3 linked regions of the Stegostoma tigrinum genome follow. The protein of the gene in region 2 binds, or shares a complex with, the protein of the main gene of each other region. Links are inferred from orthologs where the notes say so. Each region holds a gene or a part of one and is shown on either strand. Other genes may lie near its edges. The genes, in order: nsmce2, nsmce1 and nsmce4a.

The links.
Region 1: nsmce1 (region 2) and nsmce2 share a complex: the UniProt entries of both Homo sapiens proteins name them as parts of the SMC5-SMC6 complex. The link is inferred for Stegostoma tigrinum from reciprocal best matches to the Homo sapiens genes NSMCE1 and NSMCE2.
Region 3: nsmce1 (region 2) and nsmce4a share a complex: the UniProt entries of both Homo sapiens proteins name them as parts of the SMC5-SMC6 complex. The link is inferred for Stegostoma tigrinum from reciprocal best matches to the Homo sapiens genes NSMCE1 and NSMCE4A.

What each region holds. Positions count from the first base shown.
Region 1 is NC_081358.1:47,630,830-47,639,040, forward strand, and holds the start of nsmce2 (E3 SUMO-protein ligase NSE2), read left to right. Parts: upstream 1-5,010; 5' UTR 5,011-5,121; intron 5,122-8,211. Other genes in the region: washc5 (WASH complex subunit 5), read left to right, coding at 388-544, 782-869, 1,189-1,245. UniProt on the Homo sapiens protein: E3 SUMO-protein ligase component of the SMC5-SMC6 complex, a complex involved in DNA double-strand break repair by homologous recombination. Is not be required for the stability of the complex.
Region 2 is NC_081376.1:24,323,470-24,331,397, forward strand, and holds the start of nsmce1 (non-structural maintenance of chromosomes element 1 homolog), read right to left. Parts: upstream 3,398-7,928; 5' UTR 3,361-3,397; coding exon 3,297-3,360; intron 2,463-3,296; coding exon 2,328-2,462; intron 1-2,327. UniProt on the Homo sapiens protein: RING-type zinc finger-containing E3 ubiquitin ligase that assembles with melanoma antigen protein (MAGE) to catalyze the direct transfer of ubiquitin from E2 ubiquitin-conjugating enzyme to a specific substrate.
Region 3 is NC_081373.1:27,618,961-27,627,728, forward strand, and holds the start of nsmce4a (non-structural maintenance of chromosomes element 4 homolog A), read right to left. Parts: upstream 3,521-8,768; 5' UTR 3,467-3,520; coding exon 3,205-3,466; intron 1-3,204. UniProt on the Homo sapiens protein: Component of the SMC5-SMC6 complex, a complex involved in DNA double-strand breaks by homologous recombination. The complex may promote sister chromatid homologous recombination by recruiting the SMC1-SMC3 cohesin complex to double-strand breaks.

The sequences.
Region 1 (8,211 bases), on a different chromosome or scaffold from region 2:
AGCTGGTGGTGATGTGTAACTGAATCAAAGATTAATAACAAAAGTGGCTAGTACTGAGAGGGGCAGTGATCGGGGAGAGGCAGCAACAATAGGCATACTATTTCCTTTCCGTCAACAGCTACTCTGTCACTGGTTCAGGCTCAGTTGTGGCGAGGATGTAAAATGATGCCAACAGCATGACTTCCTGTTCAAGTGAATTGGCAGGAGATGTGCCTTTTTAGAAAAAAGTTCTATCACACATTGTCTTGGTTCCAGTATCTGCAAATAGTATTTAGTAAGTCATGTAACGGAGAAGAAAATTAAGAAAGATCTGTTTTTAACTATCTAATAATTAACTCTTAAAAACATATGGATAGTTTGATTGTTGCATTTTTTTTCTGCATGCAGGCATGGTGTGTAAGAAGTCCACGGATCCCACAGATTGGCCACCTCTGGTGGTTGGACTTGTCACTCTGCTGAAGCAATTCCACTCGCGTTACACAGAGCATTTTCTGGCCTTAATTGGCCAGTTCGTTCGCTCCATTGTGGAGCAATGCACTACTAGGTAAGGATCATTTGGTTTGGGAAAAGGCTGATGCTGGAAGACTGAATGATTTAATCTAATAGTTGAATGGCTAAAATTTCTCATTGTTTCTTTAAAGGCAGGATGGCTGAAGCTTAAACAAAATAATTTTGAAATATCAGCCCCAGGTTGTCTGTAACAGATTTTGTTGCAATGTTTTAAATGTATGATAAATAACTCCAGGGTGTCTTTTTTTTTTTCTCTTTTTTGTTTATTTAGTCAGAAAATCCCAGAAATGCCTGCTGATGCTGTGGCTGCCTTGATGTTCTTGGAGAATTATGTTTATTACACAAAATTACCCAGAAAGGTGAGGAAATGTTCCTTAATATTCATATTACAATCTACCAGGAAGGAGTTATACTACACCAGATTGAAATATTGTTATTTAGCTGTGGAATTCCAGAATGCAATGGGCTTGGATAGATTTCTTCTGTTGTCTAGTTTCCAATGCATATGATAAAATGTGTTCAATGTTCAGAACTGTCTTAGCACTCTGAAGAAAGGCGACAAAAGATATATAGGAAAATATTGAGGCCTTGCTGACCAGGTTGTCCTTCTTCAATTGATATTTATGTACAGCACTTTATAAAAACAATTGATAAACATTATTGCACTTTTCTTGCCAGGTTGTGGAAGCACATGTCCCTAGTTTCATCTTCGATGAGTTCAGAACAATTCTATAATGATGCCTGAGATGAAGAAAGTAGTCTGCCTCAATGTGAAGTGGTGTGCGTACTAATACCTGATAAATACTGGAATCCTTGGTTAATCTGAATATGCCTGTCTCAGCCAGAATGACACATGAAAACGGTGAATTCAGAATTTTGCTAAAAAAGTTGTGTGAATGCAAAGAAGAATTTACATTTTGCATTTGCAATAACATTGTAGCATCAATGCTGAACCCTTTTCTTCTCCAAACAAAATACAGCTCAGTTATGTATAATCTATATTTTGATTCAAATAAAAAAGTTTACTTGAACTATTGAGAAACAAAATTTTATGACTAATGTATTGCATTTTGAGTGAGCTGTAAATTAAGTAAAATTAATTGTTTAAGCCTTTGCAATTTGCATTTCTTTAAAAACTGGAACTTCAAGTTATATTGAATGGATTGCCTTTGGAAGGATAATGGTTGATCTTAAAATCAAAACATTTTTACATATGAAGGCAATTTTTGACTGTACAGCTGACCATTAAAAGTTCTTTCTGATCATGCTGTGTGGTATGCAACTTAATGGTTTTTCAAAGATGTTTTGTAGTGCAAGTTAAATGTTGTCCTATAATGTTCAGTCACTGGAATTTTACGGAGATCTTTGAGTAATATTCCTTTCTAATTTTCATCTTCGTAAACAGCAAAGTAGACAAAGATCACAATAATGCTGGAAAACAAATGGCAACCTTGAATCTAATCTTCAGGGTCACTCCATGATAAATCTAATGTTATTGAGATAGTTGTTTTAGTAACTCTCAGTATTTTTACAACCGACTATTGATTACAAACAGGTAACATTGTGATCTGGGGACACTTCTGAGGGAGAAGATTGCAGGTCATCCATACCATGAATTTGCTGCTTTTGATGTTTTGAGTAGGAACCAATACAGTTTCTTATTGAAGAATTTATTCCAAATTCAGTTTGAAAGTGAGAAATTGCTGTTCTGTATTTAAAAGATAAAGTAAATATTCAAAGAAAATCTTAAAGGATCTTCTACAAAGACTCGATGTTGTGCCGACCTGCAGACTGGTGCACTCCAAGGCCCAGGACTACGTGCTGAGGGACGCGCTAAAGCTTGGGGCAGCCGCAGCCAAGGCACGGTGGGGAAAGACCACCGTATGAAACCCCTCGTCCAGAATAGAAAAAAGGGTCCTATCTGGTAACTGGGCCCAGCTGGTGCCTTCCCCAACTGGTCAGGGGGCCAACTGGGACTATGCGGGGAGACGACTGACGGGATATTTTCTTTTCTTTGTTTTTCTTTGTTTTGTTCTTTTCCTTTAGTTGGTGTACGTACCCCCTGGGTAACCCAGAGCGGCTTGCATGACTGGGTAGGTGTATAAATGTTTTATTTTTTGTACATTCTATGAATAAAGTATATTTTTTCAAATAAAAAAAAGTGACGCAACATCTGAAAACTAACCTTCCAGCTCAGCAAGCAAACTCACATCCAGAAACTCAACCTGAGCTACAAATCTTCTCAAAACTCGCTATTCTAATTGTTAGCTCACTAAACCTTCTGGGAACTGCTTCCAAAGCATTACCATCCTTCTGCAAGCCCAGTGATTGTACTGTACAAGTACTCCAGGTATGGTCTTCTCATTGTTCTGTATAACTGAAACATAACCTCTCTTGCATACCATTCCCATTGCAATAAACCATAACGTTCTGCTCACTTGCTCTACTTGTGTACTTCTGTGATTCATGCTCTTATTTACCCAGGTTTCTCTATCTCTCAGAGCTCTGCAACTTCTCATCATTTAGATACTATACTTCCTTTCATTCATTCTGTCAAAATGGAAAATTTCACACTTTCCCACATTGTTTCATTTGCCAGGCTGTTATCCGTTCACTTAATCTATCTGTATTTGTCTTGTCTGCTCCTTATTTCCTCTTCATAGTCCATTTTCCTATATTTCTTTGTGTTGTTTGGAAATCTAGCTACCCTTCGATCCTTTGATTCAAATCTTTTATAAATTGCAAGGAGTTGAGGTCCCACCACTGATCCCTGTGGCATATCACTCGTGACATCTGCCAGCCTAAAAAAATTATCTATTTATTGCTACTCTCTGTGTCCTGCTTGCAAGCCAATCTTCTATCCATGCCAATATGTCACTCCTAACAACCTTTGACAGGGCATCTTATCAATGGCCATCCTGAAATCTATCCATCCACAGTTTTTGATAAGGTGCCACATAACAGGCTCCTCAGCAGAGTTGAAGCCCATGGAATAATAGGAGGAATGGCAGCATGGATGTGAGGTTTGCTGAGTGACTGTAAACAGTATAGTGGTGAATTGTATTTCAGACTGGGAGAAGGTGTATGTGGCTTTTCTCAGATGTCTATTCTGGGGCCTTTTTTTCTTAGTTTATGTTAATGGGCTAGATATTGATGTACAGGGCACAACGTCAATATTAGGGGGTGACACAAAACCTTTTAGGTATTGTGAGCTATGAGGAGAATAAAGTTCATGAGACATGGTCATTGGTGGAATGGGTGCAAATGAAATGAAATTCAGAGGAGTTTAAAATGTTAGGAAGAAGGGGAAGAGGAAACGTAAAATAATACGTACAAATTCTAAAGAAGCTGCAGTGACGGAGATGCTTAAATGTATACATTGTTGTTAGAGCCAGGGCATGTTGAGAAAGGGGTTAAAAGGGCAAATGGTATATTAGGCTTTATAAATAGAGAGGCAGGAGAACCTTAACCAAACATGAGTTTGGCCTCATCTGAAGTATTGTGTCTTGTTCTGGGTACTGTATTTTTAAGAATATAAGGCTTTATGTGGCGAACATGAAAGGCTCACAAAACTTGTACCTGGGCTGTTGCAGGAATAGATTGATGAAGCTGAGTTGCTCTTTTTGTGACAATGGTTGTGCAGTGGTTCAAGAGATGTGCCCATACGTGTGAAGAGTCTGGACACAACAGAACTGTTCCAATTGACTAAAGGATCCGATATCAATAGATACTGATCTAGGTGATAGATTAAAAAGTCAAGAGTTTTTATATGGTGAATGGTTAGGAGTGGGAGCTGGCAGGAATGTGGTAGGCTCAGTGCGGTTTTCCAAACACTTCATGATGCGATGAATGTGTCCTGAACAGAACTGTCCACACCCTAAATTGGCCCTTATTAATATTATTTTATTGAATTTTCATCACACAAATTGGACGGCACATAATCAGGTCATTCAGCACTCCCGCCCATTTTTGGGACAGGTTGGACTTAGCAAGTGTGCTCATGATTTGAGAAGAGCTTGTGCAGGAGTTTGGAGCAAATTACTGCAGATGCTGGAAACATAAGAATGCTACAGAGCACAGAGGGTCAGACAGTATCCATGGAGTGAAAGCAAGCTAATGTTTTGAGTCCAGGTGACTCTTCATCAAAGTTGACGTGAATTATGAAGGGAACATTATCAACACCCTGTCTCCCACCCCACTATTTTGCAGAAATGTTGTCCCGTCCACAGTTCACGTCAGCTCTGATGAAGGATCATTTAGACTCAAAACATTAGGTTACTGTCCGTCCTTGCAAGCTGCTTGAACCGCTGTAACTTCCAACATTTTGTTGTGGTGTTGCAGACATTTGCTGCCTTAATCCTAGTGGGCGACTCAAGCCACCGGCAACTGAAGCGAACAGCGACAATCAGAGGCATTCGCAACAACTGTTTCCGGGGGAAAGGAGGGATAGTTTGCAGTGGATACTGGGATTTGTAGTTTTCTATTTGGGGATCCTGGAAGTGGAAGAGTGGGGTGGCTGCAGACTACATGTCCCAGGGCGCCTTGTGCGACACCGTGTTGGCCATTTGAATCGCAGAGCGGCGGCGGCCAAGGGGAGGAAGGCCTAGATTGGTGTGTGGTTTGTGAGTTACATTTGTGTAATTTAACTTGTTTCAGCACATGCGAATTGCTGCTTTGTTTCGTATCCAGCGGCTAGCTGTTGTTCTGGAGTTTCAGCATTCAGGAGCCAAGTTAGTTCACAAACGCAAAACAAATATAATAACCAAACTGGGATAAACAAGCAGTACTAGGAGAGGGAGAGAAACGTTCAACTTGTCATCTTTATGGATTTGTAATCAATTCATGCTTATAAATTCATTCAATTCATGATCCTGTGTCCCTGCGTATAGATGGAGGAGAATTGTTTATTTTGGAAAGCGACCAAAATTAGTTGCTTGTTTATCAACATTTCACAAAGGTCTTTGAAAGGATGCTAAAGCCCTGCACTGAAGGTTCTGGAAATCAAACGTAGAAACAGATTCCTGGAAATCCTCAGCAGATCTGGCAGTTTCTGTGGAGATTGAAACAGGGTTAACCTTTCAGGTTGATATTCAGAGTTTAGATGTTTCCTTTTTGACTGCTGAGCATTTCTAGATTTTTTTTCTTCAAGGACTATTGAGTGGCGTCTATGGGGTAAAAAAAGTTCAGAAATTTCTTGGTTAAGCTGAGGATTACCGTTACTGCACACAATCAAACCACATAACCAATTTGGCTCTGTACTCATGGTTCTCCTACCTGAATCAAGTAGCCTAGTCTCACAGTCCCGTTTGTTTTATTTGCTCATGGCATATGAGAATGACAGGTAAGGCCACTATTTATTGCTCTTGTGAAGGAGGGGGTGAGCTGCTTTCTTGAACCCCCATATTTCATCTGGTGATGGTAGGAAGGGAGTTCTAGAATTTTTTTTTGACCAGTGGCAGTGAAGGAACTTGGGTTGAAAGTTAGAATAGCTTGTAGCTCTGAGGGAAACTTGCAGATCATATTGTCAGAGATAATGGGAACTGCAGATGCTGGAGATTCCAAGATAATAAAATGTGAGGCTGGATGAACACAGCAGGCCAAGCAGCATCTCAGGAGCACAAAAGCTGACGTTTCGGGCCTAGACCCTTCATCAGAGAGGGGGATGGGGGGAGGGAACTGGAATAAATAGGGAGAGAGGGGGAGGCGGACCGAAGATGGAGAGCAAAGAAGATAGGTGGAGAGGGTGTAGGTGGGGAGGTAGGGAGGGGATAGGTCAGTCCAGGGAAGACGGACAGGTCAAGGAGGTGGGATGAGGTTAGTAGGTAGCTGGGGGTGCGGCTGGGGGTGGGAGGAAGGGATGGGTGAGAGGAAGAACCGGTTAGGGAGGCAGAGACAGGTTGGACTGGTTTTGGGATGCAGTGGGTGGGGGGGAAGAGCTGGGCTGGTTGTGTGGTGCAGTGGGGGGAGGGGATGAACTGGGCTGGTTTAGGGATGCAGTGGGGGAAGGGGAGATTTTGAAACTGGTGAAGTCCACATTGATACCATATGGCTGCAGGGTTCCCAGGCGGAATATGAGTTGCTGTTCCTGCAACCTTCGGGTGGCATCATTGTGGCAGTGCAGGAGGCCCATGATGGACATGTCATCAAGAGAATGGGAGGGGGAGTGGAAATGGTTTGCGACTGGGAGGTGCAGTTGTTTGTTGCGAACTGAGCGGAGGTGTTCTGCAAAGCGGTCCCCAAGCCTCCGCTTGGTTTCCCCAATGTAGAGAAAGCCGCACCGGGTACAGTGGATGCAGTATACCACATTGGCAGATGTGCAGGTGAACCTCTGCTTAATGTGGAATGTCATCTTGGGGCCTGGGATGGGGGTGAGGGAGGAGGTGTGGGGACAAGTGTAGCATTTCCTGCGGTTGCAGGGGAAGGTGCCGGGTGTGGTGGGGTTGGAGGGCAGTGTGGAGCGAACAAGGGAGTCACGGAGAGAGTGGTCTCTCCGGAAAGCAGACAGGGGTGGGGATGGAAAAATGTCTTGGGTGGTGGGGTCGGATTGTAAATGGCGGAAGTGTCGGAGGATAATGCGTTGTATCCGGAGGTTGGTAGGGTGGTGTGTGAGAACGAGGGGGATCCTCTTGGGGCGGTTGTGGCGGGGGCGGGGTGTGAGGGATGTGTTGCGGGAAATGCGGGAGACGCGGTCAAGGGCGTTCTCAATCACCGTGGGGGGGAAGTTGCGGTCCTTAAAGAACTTGGACATCTGGGATGTGCGGGAGTGGAATGTCTTATCGTGGGAGCAGATGCGGCGGAGGCGGAGGAATTGGGAATAGGGGATGGAGTTTTTGCAGGAGGGTGGGTGGGAGGAGGTGTATTCTAGGTAGCTGTGGGAGTCGGTGGGCTTGAAATGGACATCAGTTACAAGCTGGTTGCCTGAGATGGAGACTGAGAGGTCCAGGAAGGTGAGGGATGTGCTGGAGATGGCCCAGGTGAACTGAAGGTTGGGGTGGAAGGTGTTGGTGAAGTGGATGAACTGTTCGAGCTCCTCTGGGGAGCAAGAGGCGGCGCCGATACAGTCATCAATGTACCGGAGGAAGAGGTGGGGTTTGGGGCCTGTGTAGGTGCGGAAGATCATATTGTCACTCGTCTGTTGGCTTGCTTTTTTCTTGCTGGTCAATGCTGTAGTTTTGAAAGGTACTGTTGAAGGAGCTTTGCTGAGTTTATTACAATACATAAAATAAACTTATAAACACTGCTGCCGCTGTGTCCTTGTGGTGGGGCTGTTGACTGTTTAACACTGTGGAAGAATTGCATTGCTTTATCCTCCATCATGTTGAACTGTACATGTAACTAGAGTTGTGTTCATTTGGCCAAGTGGAGACTCTTCCATTACACTCTTGACTTTACCTTAAACAGTAGCAGGCTTTGGAGAATCTGGAAGTGGATTATTCACATATGGTCAATGGTTAACCACCTGGATGTTAATGGAAATTTATTTGATCATAATACCACTGCATGCCAAAGGGAAATGATTAAGTTCTTTCTTGTTGGAGATGATCATTGGCTAGCATTTGTGTCATGAATCTGACTTGCTGCTTAGCCCAAGCATTCATTTGTTGTTCAATTTATGCTGCATGTAGGCGTTGACGGCTTCAGTACCTAAAGAATAGTAAATCATGCCGAACGTTGTATGTCATCATTGTACACCCTGACGTC
Region 2 (7,928 bases):
CAATAATCAAACTGAGGAGCTATGATATCATAGTAAGCACTGTGAAATAGATACAGCATTGAGAATGAAAGTGTATAGTATGATACGTAATCTGCTTTACACTGGGACAGATATAGCAACGTGTTCAGTGTACTACTTCAGGTATACCCATGCAAATGCATCTTTTCATCACTCAGGTCACTCCACAGCGTCAGAAGGCATTTACAACATGAATTCACTCTCTCCTTCTCATAGGTTAATGGCAACCAACAACAAACCAGTCACCTGTATTAAACATTTCTTCCATTTATGACCCCACCTGCTCCCAGAATTTAGGGCACATTGACCATGGTCGTTTACTGATGTGCCAACTGTTCTTCTCTCTCTTTGAGCTCCCCCTTATCCCCTCACCCTACCCTATTTTCTGCATACAAACTGACATTTCCTTGCTGCCGTCAGTTCCGAGAAAGGTTCACCAGACCCGAAACGTTAACTCTGATTTCGATTAGAATCCCTTCAGTGTGGAAACAGGCCATTCGACCCAACAGGTTCACACTGACTCTCCAAAGTGTATCCCACCAAGGCTCACCTATTGCTGTAACCCTGCACATCCCATGGCTAATCCACCTATCCTGCATATCTACAGGCTGTGGAAGGAAACCGGAGCACCAAAAGGAAACCCACGCAGACACAGGAAGAACGTGCAAACGCCACACAGACAGTTGCCCGGGGTTCGAATTGAACCCGGGTCCCTGGTGCTGTAAGGCACCAGTGGTAGCCACTGAGATCCCCGTGCTGCCGTTTGTCTTCACAGATGCTGCCAGACCTGTTGAGTTTTTCCAGTAACTTCTGGGTTTTTTTCCTGATTTACAGCATCTGCAGTCCTTTCAGTTTTTATTCAGCCACAGCCTTCACACTACAAAAGTAGGAAAATAAGTTTTGTAGATAAATCAACAGGGATTCTTGCTCCTGGTATCCAGGGATCAATGCTGGACAACAGAGTTCAAACTTGAATGCGCACCAAGAGTGAGCACAGGATCTGTAAGAAAATTAACGTTGCCTAACAGCTGTTATCTACCAGCACTCAAAAAGAATGGTCATTTCAGTCAGAAGCAGATTCCAGACCCCTGAATCAGATCTCACAATTACTCTCACAAGAGTAAATAGAAATTTAAAAATCAAACTGAATAAAAGATTTCAATAATGATGTTAAATTATATCAAATGGAGAGTGCAGAAGTCAATTTCTTGCCATTTTTCTACCGTTCCAGTTACTGAAGGACTGATCTCACCAAGTATTCACAAGTAGTTAGGCAACAACTGCTTGATAAAGAAGTGAATCAATCTGTTGAACTCAAAGAAAGTGAGTAAATCAGTGGAAACCCTAATGTAATCAAAGTAATGGTGTGTAAAAGAATGAGAGGAGAGGGTGGGTGGATGACAGATAAGACTCTGGAAATATTTGTAACTCACAACAGCAATAGGCATGTTCCCACACTGAATTTCCCACAAACTTTCCTCAACCAATTTACTTCAATAAAAAATATTTCTATTTTTAGTGCATAACCTCTTTCAAGTATTGTACAATTTTTATAAATCAAAATCTAACCTTGTTGGTTTCTTATCTAAATTTGCAAATTGACCAAGTTACCACCTAACTACGTCGATAAAAGCTACAAAAACCTGAACTGACCTTACTGAAACTACCTTTATCACGGGCAGTATGCAGCAGACCAGGTAAGCAGTTAAATAACAATAAAAGCAAAGTATCGTAGATGCTGGAAACCCGAAACACATGCAGAACGCTGGTGAAACTCAACAGGTCTGGCAACATCTGCAAAGAGATGGAGTTAACAGACTCTGTATAACTCTTCTCCAGAACTGAGGGATGAGAAGTGAAATGGGATGGAGGATGCTATAAGGCAGGAAGATTGGGGAAACACTGTGACAGTGAAACATTCAGGTCTGAAGATGATTTGTTTTGGACACAAAATGTTAACACTATTTTGCTCCATGATGCTTAGTTTCTGCAATTAAACAACTCTGCTTCATGTACCAGGCTAATCACAAACAAGACATGGAAGATCTACTTGTCCCACCAAAAGCCTATTAACAGCATTGAGACTGTTGTTATTGGGATTAAGTGCTGTGCATAACAAATCACTGTACTTGTAAGTAACTCACTCGAAGTGATGTTCAAATGTTGACCTATGACAAGACACTAAATATTGAAAGCCCATAGTTCTCTTGCATAAAACTGCCCACAAACTTGAGCAACATTAAATTTCAAGATGATCTTTCTTCTGAGAAAGACCACAAGAAGTAAATGCACATTAACAGTCAGCTGACCTTGGTGTGTTTCACAACAATGTTTGTGCAATTTCCTCATCATCGATCCTTCTAGAATTCCTTGAGACATCATAGTCTGCAGGAATCGTCGGTGGCTCTCATTTAGCACTGCTGCCATTACAACACTACACTCTCCTGGAGAAATAAAAACAGACTAAACTGAGAACCTTGGCATCACGCAGAAATCAAACAATTTGGTCATTATTTAACTGCTGCCATGGGGCATTTCACTGTGTTATGTACTTCCACTACCCTCCTCAGATGAGTTGGATCCATTCCCCAAGGCTGCACAAAGGGTTACCTCACTCTACACTCCTGCTTTCCTCCATTTGCCCAACACTAATTCACTCACCATGCCTCCAACGCTTCTCCCACTCCCCACACCATTAAGCATCATCCATCCCATTTCATCTCTAATCCTCTTCTCTGTCCTCTTTTCCATGCCTGCCTTACCCTATTCTCTGCCAGCAACCATTGCCACCCTTATCAAAACCCAATCCATTCAAGCTTCTATCTTTGCCAACCTTTTTGCCATCTACCCCCTCCAGTCTCATCCCACCATCCTCCAGTTACCAGTCCACAGGCCTCTAAATCTGTCCAACCACCCATGTCCCTTGCCACCCCTTTCCCAACTCCAACACCTCTCCTCACCCCACTCCATTACCCCATCCCCCAATATCTTTGCCATTCCCTGCCACCCAATACTCCTTGCCCATCCCCTCTGACTACCTTGACCATTCCTCTCACACGTCTCTCTCCCTGTGTTCCACATCACCTAGCCCCTTCCCCTATCTCTCACCTAATTCTCCTTAATCAACCCTTTCACTTCTCTCTCGTACACCCAACTGCCCCCCCATCTCTCCGACCCCCCCTCCCCACTCTCACTCCACTCCCCCTTCTTCCCTCCACCCCCGCCCGCTTTTTTTTTCTCTCTCCCTCCCTTCTAAACCCCTCATCGTTTTCGCTTACCCCATCCCTCCTTAAACACTCGCAACACTCCCCCACCCCGATCCCAGACTATATTCCATTCCATCTCTGAATCACTCGGCCCACCCCGCAGCACCACTCACCGGGGCCGCAGTCACAATTTCCCACAATCCCCATCAGCAGTGACTCCGCGGTGCATTATGGGTTTGGGTTCCAGAACTTTCTGTACCCTGGCGACAGTTGAGAGTTTTGTTCGGTGCGGAGTTCGATGTTGGCGTCTTTGTAGTTTGTTTTGCTAAAGGATCTTCTTCATTTTCCTGATACCTTAAAGCTGCTCGTTTCTCTTAAAATCTCTGTTAGAAACTTCATGGTTTCAAAAAAAAATTCAGTGTTTGATGCCAAACGCAAACTCTTTCGGGGCAAGTTTTCTCCAAACCCTTTCCGAAAAGTGAAATAAAATGTTCAGTCGGGATGGTTAGAACAGTTGGTCACCAGAATGTGAGTTCTTTGGAAATATCCGAGGTTGGTTAGAAACACGAAGTGATTTTTTTCCCCCCAGATCTCAAAACAGATTTCACTTGTTTTCCTTTGTAAAGTAAAAGTAAGGGCCGCGGATTGTGGGGATTGGAAACGAACACAAAGTGTTTCGGAGAAACTCGGCAGGTCTGGCAATGGAACGAGAAACAGGTCGCCGCTTGGGAGTCCAGCCACCTTTTGTCAGAATTGAAAGCCAGTGAAAAATAGTTGTATTTTAGCTTATGGTGGCTGAGATTAGGGGGAGGGGAGGAATGGTACGTCTGTAAAAGTGACCCGAGTTTCTAGTTGCCTGCCGCTTGGACACACTACTGTTTTCTCACGTCAATATTAGTGTCTCAGGCTGCTTCAGTTCTTAAAGGATGCTCAAAGCAAGCTGGAGGAATAAGACAATTTACAATTGTCAGAATTCAACACTGAATCAGAGAATGTAAACCTTCTTCCAAGTCTCTTGTCCAACCTCAGGTCCTATTGTGTATGCATCCAGAACAGTCAACCCATTTTAGACTATTTACACTTGCTGCTGGCACTCGTTCAGCATAACTTCTGCTCTGTTTAAAACTAGCAGCCCCTTTGCTCTTTTTTGACTTGGCACCCATGTCTGTCAACCCAGTTTATGCCTGCTACCCTACCCCACTTCCATCGTTGTCATAAATACCACCTTTTCCCACCAGTTTTCATTATCCTGTTTTTATGCTGCTTATATAAAAGGGGGTTAAGCCCTCAGGAAAAGAACATATTAGGCCACTTCTGGTATACTGCCTTCAGTTCTGGCCTCCATGCTGTAGGACAGGTGTTGTGAAAGTTGAAAGGGTTCAGAAATGATTTCAATATTGCAGGGGTTGGAGGGTTTGAGCTATAGGGAGAGGCTGACTAGGCTGGGGCTATTTCCCCGGAGCTTCAGAGGGTGAGGGGTGACCTGATACAGGTTTGTAAAAGCATGAGGGGCATGGAGAGCGTGAATAACCAAGGTCTTTTCCCAGGAAAAGGGGGTCCTAAACTAGAAGGCATAAGTTTATGATGAGAGTGAAAGATTTAAAAGGGACCCAAGGGGCAACTTTTTTATGCAAAAGGTGGTGTGTGTGTGAAATGAGGAAGTGGTGGAGGCTGGTACAACTATAACATTTAAAAGGCATCTGGATGAGTAGAGGTGTTCAGAGAGATATGTGTCAATTGCTGGCAAATAGGTCTTGATTAGTTTAGGCTATCTCCTCGGCATGGATGAGTTGGACCAAAGGGTCTGTAAACTCTGACTATAACAAGCTAGTCATTGAGAAAACACAGATTGGAAACCAGAGCAGCTACGAATTTGCTTGATCTGAAGGAAATCCATGTTACATACAACCAAACTGCGTTTTTGTGCACTAGCTGCACTCAGCCCTTGTCCACAAACATTGGCGTTCAGCATTTGTCAAACCCTCACAACCACAATGGCACCTCTCCAGACCACTGGTAGAATTATACAGCTGTATGATTTCCTAAATTAATCAAGTCCCATTTGGCGCATATCACTCTGAATACCTTCTGTTCATATACCCAACATCTTTTGTTATAGCAGGGAGAATAGAATTGGACGCAGTATTCCAAATATGGCCTAACCAATGTCCTGTACAGCTGCATCATGACATCCCAATTCCTATACTCAATGCACTTACTAATAAAGGCAAGTGTACCAAATGCCTTCTTCACTAAGATGTCTTTGGTAATACAGCTGAACATTAATGAGACAAGTTGTATCCTTCTCAATCGGTAACTCACCACCTAGTGAGAAACTCCATGCCATTTGATAAAAGCATAAAAGATGGAACGTGACACTTCTGATGTCAAGATGGATCTCACCGGACTTATATCCACTCCTTGTCTAATATGACATCCAGACCCCAAAAGATTCTGCCCTATGCTTAATGCCTATGTTTTAAGTTTCAGAGAAAAACTAAGCTAGACTAAAAAAGTATTAAGTCTTTCAACAAAATTAGAACAGCTAAAAAGTTTGAAGATTTATTGCCAGATCTAAGGTCTGATATCCGTCTCTGGAAACCATTAAAAGCTTAGGTCACTGGATCGTAACAAATAAAAAAGAAACTCAAAGACGTGAATTAAGTTGTCAATATTCCAGACAGGAGAAAACTCAGCATGCATATCATGTTAATATAAGGACATTTTTTTAATGACAGACAGGATAGTCAAGAGAAAGTATATTTACAATGGTGATAAACATAGGGAATGAAAATAAAATATCTGAACAATCGGAGAATGAAATTGGAACTTCAAAAGTTGATCCCCCAAAAATCAGATTGGATAGTATGGATTACTTAAAACGTGGATGGAATATTATTGCTAATTCCCAGAAAACTATCAAAGTGACTTAGGAAGCTGTGACAAACACATAAATCATTCAATAGGCCATGAGAATCTATTGCTATGCATGCTATTAATGTAGGGTGTGTGTTACCCATAAAATAATATTCTTACAGACTCAACCCAAAGGGTTAGCTCAAGTGAGGGACATGGTTGAGCACAAGATGAAATTATATATTATTGAACTAAGTTGTAGTAGCTGGAGCCCACCTGTCCTAATAGTGTTGAAACTAATTGAGTAACAAAGACTGCATTGTTTATCATAAAGTCAACATGTTAAAAAGGGAACATTCCCATGTGATTCCATACTAGAGGACTCGACTGAAAAAATTGTATATCCATCATAATCAAAATCGAATTGTTAAAAGGATATTGGAAAATTCGAAATAAATTATTTACGGACCTGAGTTTCATTCTATAACCTGATTTTGTCCAATATTGTCATCAGCTGAGATCATAATAGCATATACAGGGAAACACAGAAGCCAAACAAATGAATTAACATCTTTCAAAATCAGTTGTACCCCATGCCAATTAGTTTGTGAGGGTGATTCACTAGTTCCAGTTCACTGATTGGAAAAGGCATATGACTGGGAAGAAATAGACCAGACAAAATAACATGGCGATTTAAGATTTCTTTTTGTTAATGATTTGAATTTTAATTATTGTATCCGTGTGGCACTTTTGCAAGAATGTTTGCTTGATGACATTTACAACCTAATACTGTATCTCCTTCAGGATTTCAGTTAGAAGAATGTGAGACTAACATATCCCAGCATTAGTCAAAATCCCAAAAATATCCTTGCTTTAGCTCCCAATTCTAGACCCTTCTAGGTCCGAAACGTCACCTTTTGTGCTCCTAAGATGCTGCTTGGCCTGCTGTGTTCATCCAGCTCCACACTTTGTTATCTCGGATTCTCCAGCATCTGCAGTTCCCATTATCTCTGATCACACTTTTAAGAGAGACTCCTTTGGAAATAATTTCCAGGTTCTAGCTTTTTTTTTCTCTTTGCCACCCCCACCCAATAAATATTTTTACAAATAAGCTTTATGAAAAGAGGGCAAATCGAGTTGTTTGCAACCTATTTGACCCCAGAGTAAGCCTTCAACCATGAATGGGCACTATCATCAAGACCACATAATTTCACTTTCTATAGCACATATTTTTTCTCACCTTGCCTGAATTCTTCTCTGCTTAAAATCTCAGTCATACATTCATTACCCCCAAACATCACTATTCCAAAGGACTCCTAGCTTGTTTACCACATTCTACATCACACTTGTATCAGCACCGATGCTTAACCCAGTTCTTGCTTCTAGCTCTTCATTTGTTTGCTCTAGCTCTGAGTCAACACCAAGGCTTAAGCAATTAAACACAGGTAACATATCAGTTACCAAAGTTACATAATTAAAAATAGAACAATTAAACAACAGATATCTTTACCGCTGTTTCCTCCTTTAAGACATGTCTTAAGTCTATCTCTTTGGCCCCTAAGTTTTATTCATCTACCCAAAATTCCTTTATGGCTTAGTGTTATATTTTGTTTATAATATTTATAATAATATTTGTTTTGTTTTATAATGGCGTATTTGGTTTTGATAACATTAAAGGCACAACATAAATATAAACTATTATCAAAGTTTCTCAGAAAGGCATAGTTCCTTTAAGATCTTATATTTGCACTTGTTTTTGTTACTTGTTTCTGCACTTTCAACATAAAGCTTTATCTGTAGTATTATTCAGCCTGTTGTCAAGAGTAAATAATTACCTGCCGCAGTCAG
Region 3 (8,768 bases), on a different chromosome or scaffold from region 2:
ACGAAGAAGGTGGCTTATGTTAGGATGAGATGTGAAGGCTCAGTTAGGGCACTTGAGGGCTACGAGGTAGCCAGGAAAGACCTAAAGAGAGAGCTCAGAAGAGCCAGGAGGAGACATGAGAAGTTGTTGGCGGATAGAATCAGGGTAAACCCTAAGGCTTTCTATAGGTATTTAAGGAATAAAAGAATGACGAAAATAAGATTAGGCCCAATCAAGGATAGTAGTGGTAAGTTGTGTGTGGAGTCAGATGAGATAGGGGAAGCGCTAAATGAATATTTTTCAACAGTATTCACTCTAGAAAACGACAATGTTGTCGAGGAGAATGCTGAGATACAGGCTACTAGACTAGGTGGGATTGAGGTTCACAAGGAAGAGGCATTAGAAATCCTACAGAGGGTGACGATAGGTAAGTCCCCTGGGCCAGATGGGATTTATCCTCGGATCCTCTGGGAAGCCAGGGAGGAGATTGCCGAGCCTTTGGCATTGATCTTTAACTCGTCATTGTCTACAGGAATAGTGCCAGACGACTGGAGGATAGCAAATGTGGTTCCCCTGTTCAAGAAGGGGAGTAAAGACAACCCTGGTAATTATAGACCAGTGAGCCTTACCTCAGTTGTTGGTAAAGTGTTGGAAAAGGTTATAAGGGATAGGATTTATAATAATCTAGAAAAGAATAAATTGATTAGGGATAGTCAGCACGGTTTTGTGAAGGGAAGGTCGTGCCTCACAAACTTTATTGAGTTCTTTGAGAAGGTGACCAAACAGGTAGATGAGAGTAAACCGGTTGATGTGGTGTATATGGATTTCAGCAAGGCGTTCGATAAGGTTCCCCACAGTAGGCTATTGTACAAAATGCGGAGGAATGGAATTTTGGGAGATACAGCAATTTGGATTGGAAATTGGCTTGCTAAAAGAAGACAGAGGGTGGTGGTTGATGGGAAATGTTCATCCTGGAGACCAGTTACTAGTGGTGTACTGCAAGGGTTGGTGTAGGGTCCACTGCCGTTTGTCATTTTATAAATGACCTGGATGAGGGCGTAGAAGGATGGGTTAGTAAATTTGCAGACGACACTAAGGTTGGTGGAGTTGTGGATAGTGACGAAGGATGCTGTAGGTTGCAGAGAGACATAGATAAGCTGCAGAGCTGGGCTGAGAGGTGGCAAATGGAGCTTAATGCAGACAAGTGTGAGGTGATGCACTTTGGTAGGAGTAACCAGAAGGCAAAGTACAGGGCTAATGGTAAGATTCTTAGTAGTGTAGATGAGCAGAGAGATCTCGGTGTCCATGTACACAGATCCTTGAAAGTTGCCACCCAGGTTGACAAGGCTGTTAAGAAGGCATACAGTGTTTTAGCTTTTATTAATAGAGGGATCGAGTTCCAGAACCAAGGGGTTATCATTAAGCTGTACAAAACTCTGGTGCGGCCACACTTGGAGTATTGTATACAGTTCTGGTCACCGCATTATAAGAAGGATGTGGAAGCTTTGGAAAGGGTGCAAAGGAGATTTACTAGGATGTTGCCTGGTATGGAGGGAAGATCTTACGAAATAAGTCTGAGGGACGTGAGGCTGTTTTCGTTGGAGAGAAGAAGGTTGAGGGGTGACTTAATAGAAACATATAAAATAATCAGAGGGTTAGATAGGGTGGATAGGGAGAGCCTTTTTCCTAGGATGGTGACGGAGAGCACGAGGGGGCATAGCTTTAAATTGAGGGGTGAAAGATATAGGACAGATGTCAGAGATGGTTTCTTCACTCAGAGTAGTGAGGCAACGAAACGCTTTGCCTGTAACGGTAGTAGATTCGCCAACTTTAGGTACATTTAAGTCGTCATTGGATAAGCATATGGACGTACATGGAATAGTGTAGTTTAGATGAGCTTGAGATCGGTATGACAGGTCAGCACAACGAGGGCCAAAGGGCCTGTACTGTACTGTAATGTTCTATGTAAACAGGACAATTCCAGATTCTACTAACATTAGATGAAGTCCTGGAAAGAAATTGTTCACACCACCTTTATTTCACACAAACCAAATTGGTACACACTAGAGATAATGGGAACTGCAGATGCCAGAGAATCCAAGATAACAAAGTGTGCAGCTGGATGAACACAGCAGGCCAAGCAGCATCTCAGGAGCACAAAAGCTGACGTTTTGGGCCTTGACCCTTCATCAGAGGGGGGGGATGGGGAGAGGGTTCTGAAATAAATAGGGAGAGAGGGGGAGGTGGACCGAAGATGGATAGAGAAGATAGGTAGAGAGGAGAGTATAGGTGGGGAGGTGATAGGTCAGTCTACGGAGGACGGACATTTCAAGGCGGTGGGATGAGGTTGGCAGGTGGGAGAAGGAGATAGGAGAGGGGAAGAACAGGTTAGGGAGGCAGGAACGAGCTGGGCTGGTTTTGTGATGCAGTGGGGGGAGGGGACGAGCTGGGCTGGACTTCACAAGCTTCAAAATCTCCCCCTCCCCCACTGCATCCCAAAACCAGCCTCCCTAACCTGTTCTTCCTCTCACCTACCAACCTCATTCCGCTTCCTTGGACTAACCTATCCCCTTTCCATCTATCTTCTCCTCTATCCATCTTCAGTCTGCCTCCCCCTCTCTCCCTATTTATTCCAGAACCCTCTCCCCATCCCCTTCTCTGATGAAGGGTCTAGGCCCAAAACGTCAGCTTTTGTGCTCCGGAGATGTTGCATGGCCTGCTGTGTTCATCCAGCTCCACACTAGGACAGCCGGTAAGCAACTGAACTGGTAAAGTGGAGCAATCTGACTGGCTTTCAGAATCACATTCTGCGACGACACGTTTTCTCATGAAAGCCACAAAGCAGCAACTTCGGATATTTTGAAATATCAACTTGTTCAGGCATTTTATTCCACACCTCTGGAGATGAGAACTAAACTTAAATCTCCCGCTCGAAAGTAGTCTTATTGTTCAAGTCTAACCGAGTGGAAGTTATTGATAAACCATATTTATAAAGGGCAAGCCTGCTCAAAAAAAAGGGAAAGCCTGTTCACAAATAATATAGACGCAGGTTACTCGGTATCAAACTGGCCCGTGGTATTGATACAAGACAAGAGATTCTATTGTTATTTAATTTTACGTTTCCTATTGGAGTTCACAAGGGGAGAACGGAAGACCCAGAGTGTCCTGATGAGAGCGAGAAGAGGTTACAATCTGAACTGGGTGTCCCCGTGCCTGCTCACTCACGCTGGACGCTGTTGATAAGTTCCCGGTACTGGTGCCTCAGCATCCTCCGGCGATTCGGGTCATCATCCCGGGCCCCATACGGGATGGCGCCATCGACCAGCTCCTCGTCCTCGGTCACGGTGCAGTCCGAGACGGCTGAGTTTCTCCTGCCGCGCTGCGGAGCTCCCGCTCCGGCCATGGTGCCGTTGGAGGTGCCCGCAGCGGAGCGCTGCGATCCCCCGGGGGGATAAGGGGATCGGCCTCGACCTTTGCCCTCCGACATTGTTTCTCCACCCCGCCAGTACAAAGCCAAACCAGCGCCTTTCCAGCACGTCACCTCCACATGCGCCGGAAGTCAAAGCCACCGACTCTTAATTTGTAGTTGAACATGTTTCCCAGGTTTGCGTCATCAGTGAAGGACGAAAGGTGTTATTGCTTCAGATTTTAATTTTTATTAAATAAAAGTTCTGTATAGGGCCTCCTTGACCTGTTCGTCTCCTCTCAGCCTATCTTGTCCTTGATCCACCTTCTATCCGCCTCCCCCTCTCTCCCTATTTATTTCAGAATCCCCCCTCCCCCCGGGTTTCTGAAGAAGGGTCCTGACCCGAAATGTCAGCCTTTCTGCTTGGCCTGTTGTGTTCATCCAGCTTGTTATCTCATCCTACATAAAAGCATTACCCTATATAGAAGTGAGGGAAAAGAACCAAAACAAATTACTGGAGAAACTCAGCAGAATCTATTGGTGTGAGGCTGGAAAAGCACAGGAGGTCAGTCAGCATCAGAGGAGCAAAAAAGTCAACCTTTTGGGCTGAAACCCTTCAATAGTACTAGGTACACTAACGTTGATGTATCCTACTTTGATACTGTCTGACCTGCTGTGCTTTTCCAGTCTCACACCGACAGGTGCAGGCTTCTATTATCTACAGTCTTTATTTCTCTGGAGAAACTTTACAGGTCTGATAGCATCAGTGGAAAGAAAGCAAAGTTAACGTTTGAAGTCTAATGACCCTTCTTCAGAACCGATAGCTTGGAAAAGGTGGCATTTAAGCTCATCACAGGGTGGGGCACAAAGGAGTGAGCAATTAGATCAAGATAACAAAGTGTGGAGCTGGATGAACACAGCAGACCAAGCAGCATCTTAGGGGCACAAGAGTTGAAGTCAGGTTCCAGTCAGTCCTGTAGATCTGGTGCAAACAGTTTTGAAAGTCACAGTAAATCACTCGGGAAGCTGCACAGATTTCAGCCAAGGTTACAATCAGTTGTCAGAAGGGCTGACCATCCAGGTCTGTCAAGGGGTGGGGCACAAAGAGTGACAGTCCTAGAGCCCGTCCATTAAAAGGCAAAGAAGGCTTTACCAGGAGCTGGTGGTGAAACTGGGGAACTCAATTGTGATATTTTCAGGCAGAATGATGGGATGTGCAATGGAGCAGGAAATTCAATATAAAGGGGAGAGATGCTAGAGGTTAGGAGGGAATGAGATAATCAACAATCAGCATGACAAGTAGAGGGGAGGTGATGATCTAATTGCATTACCACTAGACTACTATTCCAGAGACCCAGATAATGTCTTGAGTACCTGGAATTCTAGCCATCATGGTAGAACTTGAATTTAACTAAAATATAATGTTGACAATGAAACTGTTGCCAACTGTTGGAAAAACCCATCTGGTTCACTATGCCTTTGAGGGAATGAAATCTGCCATCCTTACCTGGTCTGGCCTACATGTGACTCTAGACCCACAACAATGTGGTTGACTCTTAACTGCCCTCTGGGCAATTAGCCATGGGCAATAAATACTGGTCTGGCTAGTGACTTCCACATCCCATGAATGAATTTTAAAAAAACACCAATCTGGCTTTAATGGGGAGACAGTTCATTGCTATGTCTGGCATGATGGATGCAGTATGCTTAGGGTTCAGACAGTAATATGGGGAGAAATTGACAGTTTGGTTTAAAGAAGCAGTTTAGTATCCCTGGAGCTAGATTTACTCTCTTTTTTGAGTCACTTGTTTTAATAGAGTTTTAAAATAAAAATTAGCAACCTGCAATTCATCATGCCACAAATTCCTGTCCAGTTTCCCTTTCATGAGTACACTCATACCTCGAGCAGTGCTGAATGTTTACAAAAGAAAGTCATCTATGCGTTGAAATAAAATCCAGGATTAGAGCCTGTTCATTTTAACCTGATGACACATGATACCAGACAAGGCTAGCCTCACTTTAAACTACATCATAACAATATTGCCCAATACGATCTTGGTGCATAAGATTCTTGTGCAGCCACAGTTAGCTTCAGCTACAGTGGCCTGACATTAAACAATGATTGAAGACTTATAGAGGAGATACATGCTGCGCTCAACTGCACAAATGATGTGAAAATAAAGGTAAATAGTTCGTGAAGATATCAGAATACTAAGGTTTGAAGTTGAACTGATCTGTACATTACTCTGTTAGTTTAGTTTGGCATTTAGTATGGAGCTGCTTTTGGCTGAGAGCAAGTGCACTGTTGACTAAGCAGTCTCCAACTTAACTGTTTCTACTGTTATTAGTTACATATGTCATGAGAATCCAGTTTAGTTTGTATTTTAATCCATTTTTGTTTGTTCTGACTGTTCAAGTCTTTAACATTTGTGTATTAGATGTCTAATGCTGTGACATAATTTTTGAGCATGGCAATGAAAACTAGTTAATAGGCCATGACTGAAACATTTTTAAAGTTAAAAGCTGTGGGTAAGTGAAGGGTAGATCTTTTTCATACAAAGTTTAATTTAGAGCTTCTTCTTTTGGGCCTTATTGTATAGAATATAGGCTTGAAATCCTTCCAACATAGAGCGACAGCAGCAATCAGTCTATAAATACTGGAGTTGAGAAAAGTATGGGTCTTTTTCAGCAAAAATATGAAGGCAAATTTTTAAGGGCCAATTATGCCCGTCAATGGAATGCTATGTTCCTCCTGTTGAATGTAGGAGACGAGCAAACAGTTGACCATCTATGGAGACTATGTTTTCGGGAGGCGTGCTTGGATCTGTCTTCTACCAGACCATTTGGAATGGCTGGAAAGGCTGTTTGAGTCACTGAGGAGCATGCAAGAGACACAGGGTGTGATGGTCAGTAGATTTAGAGAGGTGGTCACACAGCAGGTTCAGTCAGATAGATGTGTGACTGTCAAGAGAGGTTGGAGGGTACTGCAGGAGTCTCCTGTGGCTGTTAGTGCTGGGATGCTGGAGTCTGCTTAATAATAGATATACTGGATACTACAAGACATAACAGGCCATTCTAAAAATTACTCATACATATTCAAATGTTTGCTTTTTCGAGTTAACTTTCTTCCTTCAATATGATACCTGGTATCAATCCGTTTTGAAGGACTTCATGATTTTTTTTATTATACTTGACTGCAAACTTAACATTGAAAGATCAGTTACCATTAAAATAAAAAAGCCAGACTGATAAGTTAAAATATTAACCGATAACAGTTTAGTTAATTGAGAGTGAACTTATGTTCACTTCGTGATATCACAGAAGAATCTGTACAGCAGTTGTTGAATATGTTGCACACAAAAACAATCACATAACCAGCGTAGCAGAGATGTGAAAAAGTAACATGTATCCTTAGGAGGGACACAAATATCATTTAGTATTTCAGTATTCTATGTATTAATGTTCAAATTCCAGTTTCATGTTAATATATTTTTTAATCAAGTTACAGTTTAAAAGTAAATCTTTATTCTAGTTATATTGATGGTTTTCTGTGAAGTAAACGGTTTTGAAATAGTTGTTCTGGTAGGAATTATAACAGAAATATGCATAGAGAGTCAAAACTAAATGACTGATTATAGATGTCATTTGTCACGTTATACAAGTGTGCTTTCTCTGAGTCACTAACACAGTAGAAAGTTCAATAGTCACTGTCATTGTCTTAACTGGATTTCCATTCTGATAAATACAGCAGTATTGCTTGCTGAACACGTTTTGAGTTGCTGGTGTTTCATAAAATGTTTATCTTGTTTCATTGTTTTTCCCAAAATAAGTTAATCTAATGCCTGTGAGCACGCTGCATTTTGTGCAGCATAAAATGTTGTTCCCTATGAAATGTGGTATTTGTGCAATTCTGTCTGGATAAATGCATGACAAGTTCCTTTTTAAGCAGCTCTTAAGTTCTGCACAATTAAGCAACTATTATTTTCCTGGATCTACTGGCTACTTAGATTTTATTTCAAAAACATTCCTTACAATACAAGTTACAGAATGCATGGATATGTCAGTGTGGAAGGAAAACTCAAAATCAGAAAAACAAACAGAGGTAAATCTGCTTGATAATTTACCCTTCCAAAAGGAATTTTAGGCGTTTAAGTCATCACCCAATTTTACAAGGCATTGATACCTTAGGGATGATTTACAGTAAAATGACTCTGGACTTAAGGCTTTGAGTTACAAAAGGAGATTTTATTGAAAATTTTAATGGAGAAAAATTAGATTGAGAGGACAAGATCAGACCTTGGGAGGTGTAAGTAACAATGACATAAACCATATGTAATGACAATGAGGTGTTATAAAGTGGAAGTGACTCCACCCCCACCTCAAGGACTGAAAGCAAAACACCCAAAGAGGAGCACCTCGCCCTATAATCTGTAAAAAGATTGTGAAAAGTGGTCTAACCTGCCTTTCAGCAACTTCTAGTGGTTAAATAAAATAAACCCCTGACATTCACATTACAATCAACAAGTGACAATTTATTTATCGAACTGTAACAGTGAACAAAGTAATTAATCGATTAACAAATTGAATGAATCCCTTCTAATGACTAACTTTTCACTACTAAAACAAGATCCTAATAGAATGCTGTTCCAATAAATACAAATCCCACTTATAAATAGTCTCTTGAAATTACAGCCAGGTGACATGTCTTCCAGAATATTCTGTATCTTCTACATTGATTCTTCTATCAGGAATATTCACTAGTTGTGCCAGGGGTACCTTTGTTCTTTAGATGGTGCTTTCTTTAATACATAGAGGAGCCTGTGAGAGCTGAGTACTATTAAGGCTGGCAGGTAGCAGTTAGCTCTACTGTCTTTGCCAACTGCCCCTTCTTTTATACCGTTGATGACATATCAATTTCTGAAAATGGAATTGGTCCTATGTTGCCAAAACCATCAGATAAAATTAAATTGGTTTTTGGTATTTTAAGTACCTGGTTCAAATTGATTGGTTAAAATCAAAACTTGTCATGATAAAAACTGCTGCTTCACTAGCTAACCGTACAGTTTTTTAAACAAATGTTTCAATTCAGGTACTTTCTGTGTACTTGTAAACTTTCAAGCTGCTGCTCACAGACTTTTTTTTAAATTCTGAAGCACAGAAAAAGCACATAATCTTTTAAAGGGACCATGCAATGTTCCCCCCCTCCTCCACTAACCAGCATTGTACTAACACCAAATTCTAATTTCTGGCCTCCAAATCTACAAGTACTCTATCTAACATTGCAACAGAGGGCAGATCTATAACTCATGACATTAATCGGATAAGAATGTTACAAAAAAATTTAAGTTACAGGGCCTTCCAAACAATTTGAAGACAATTGTAA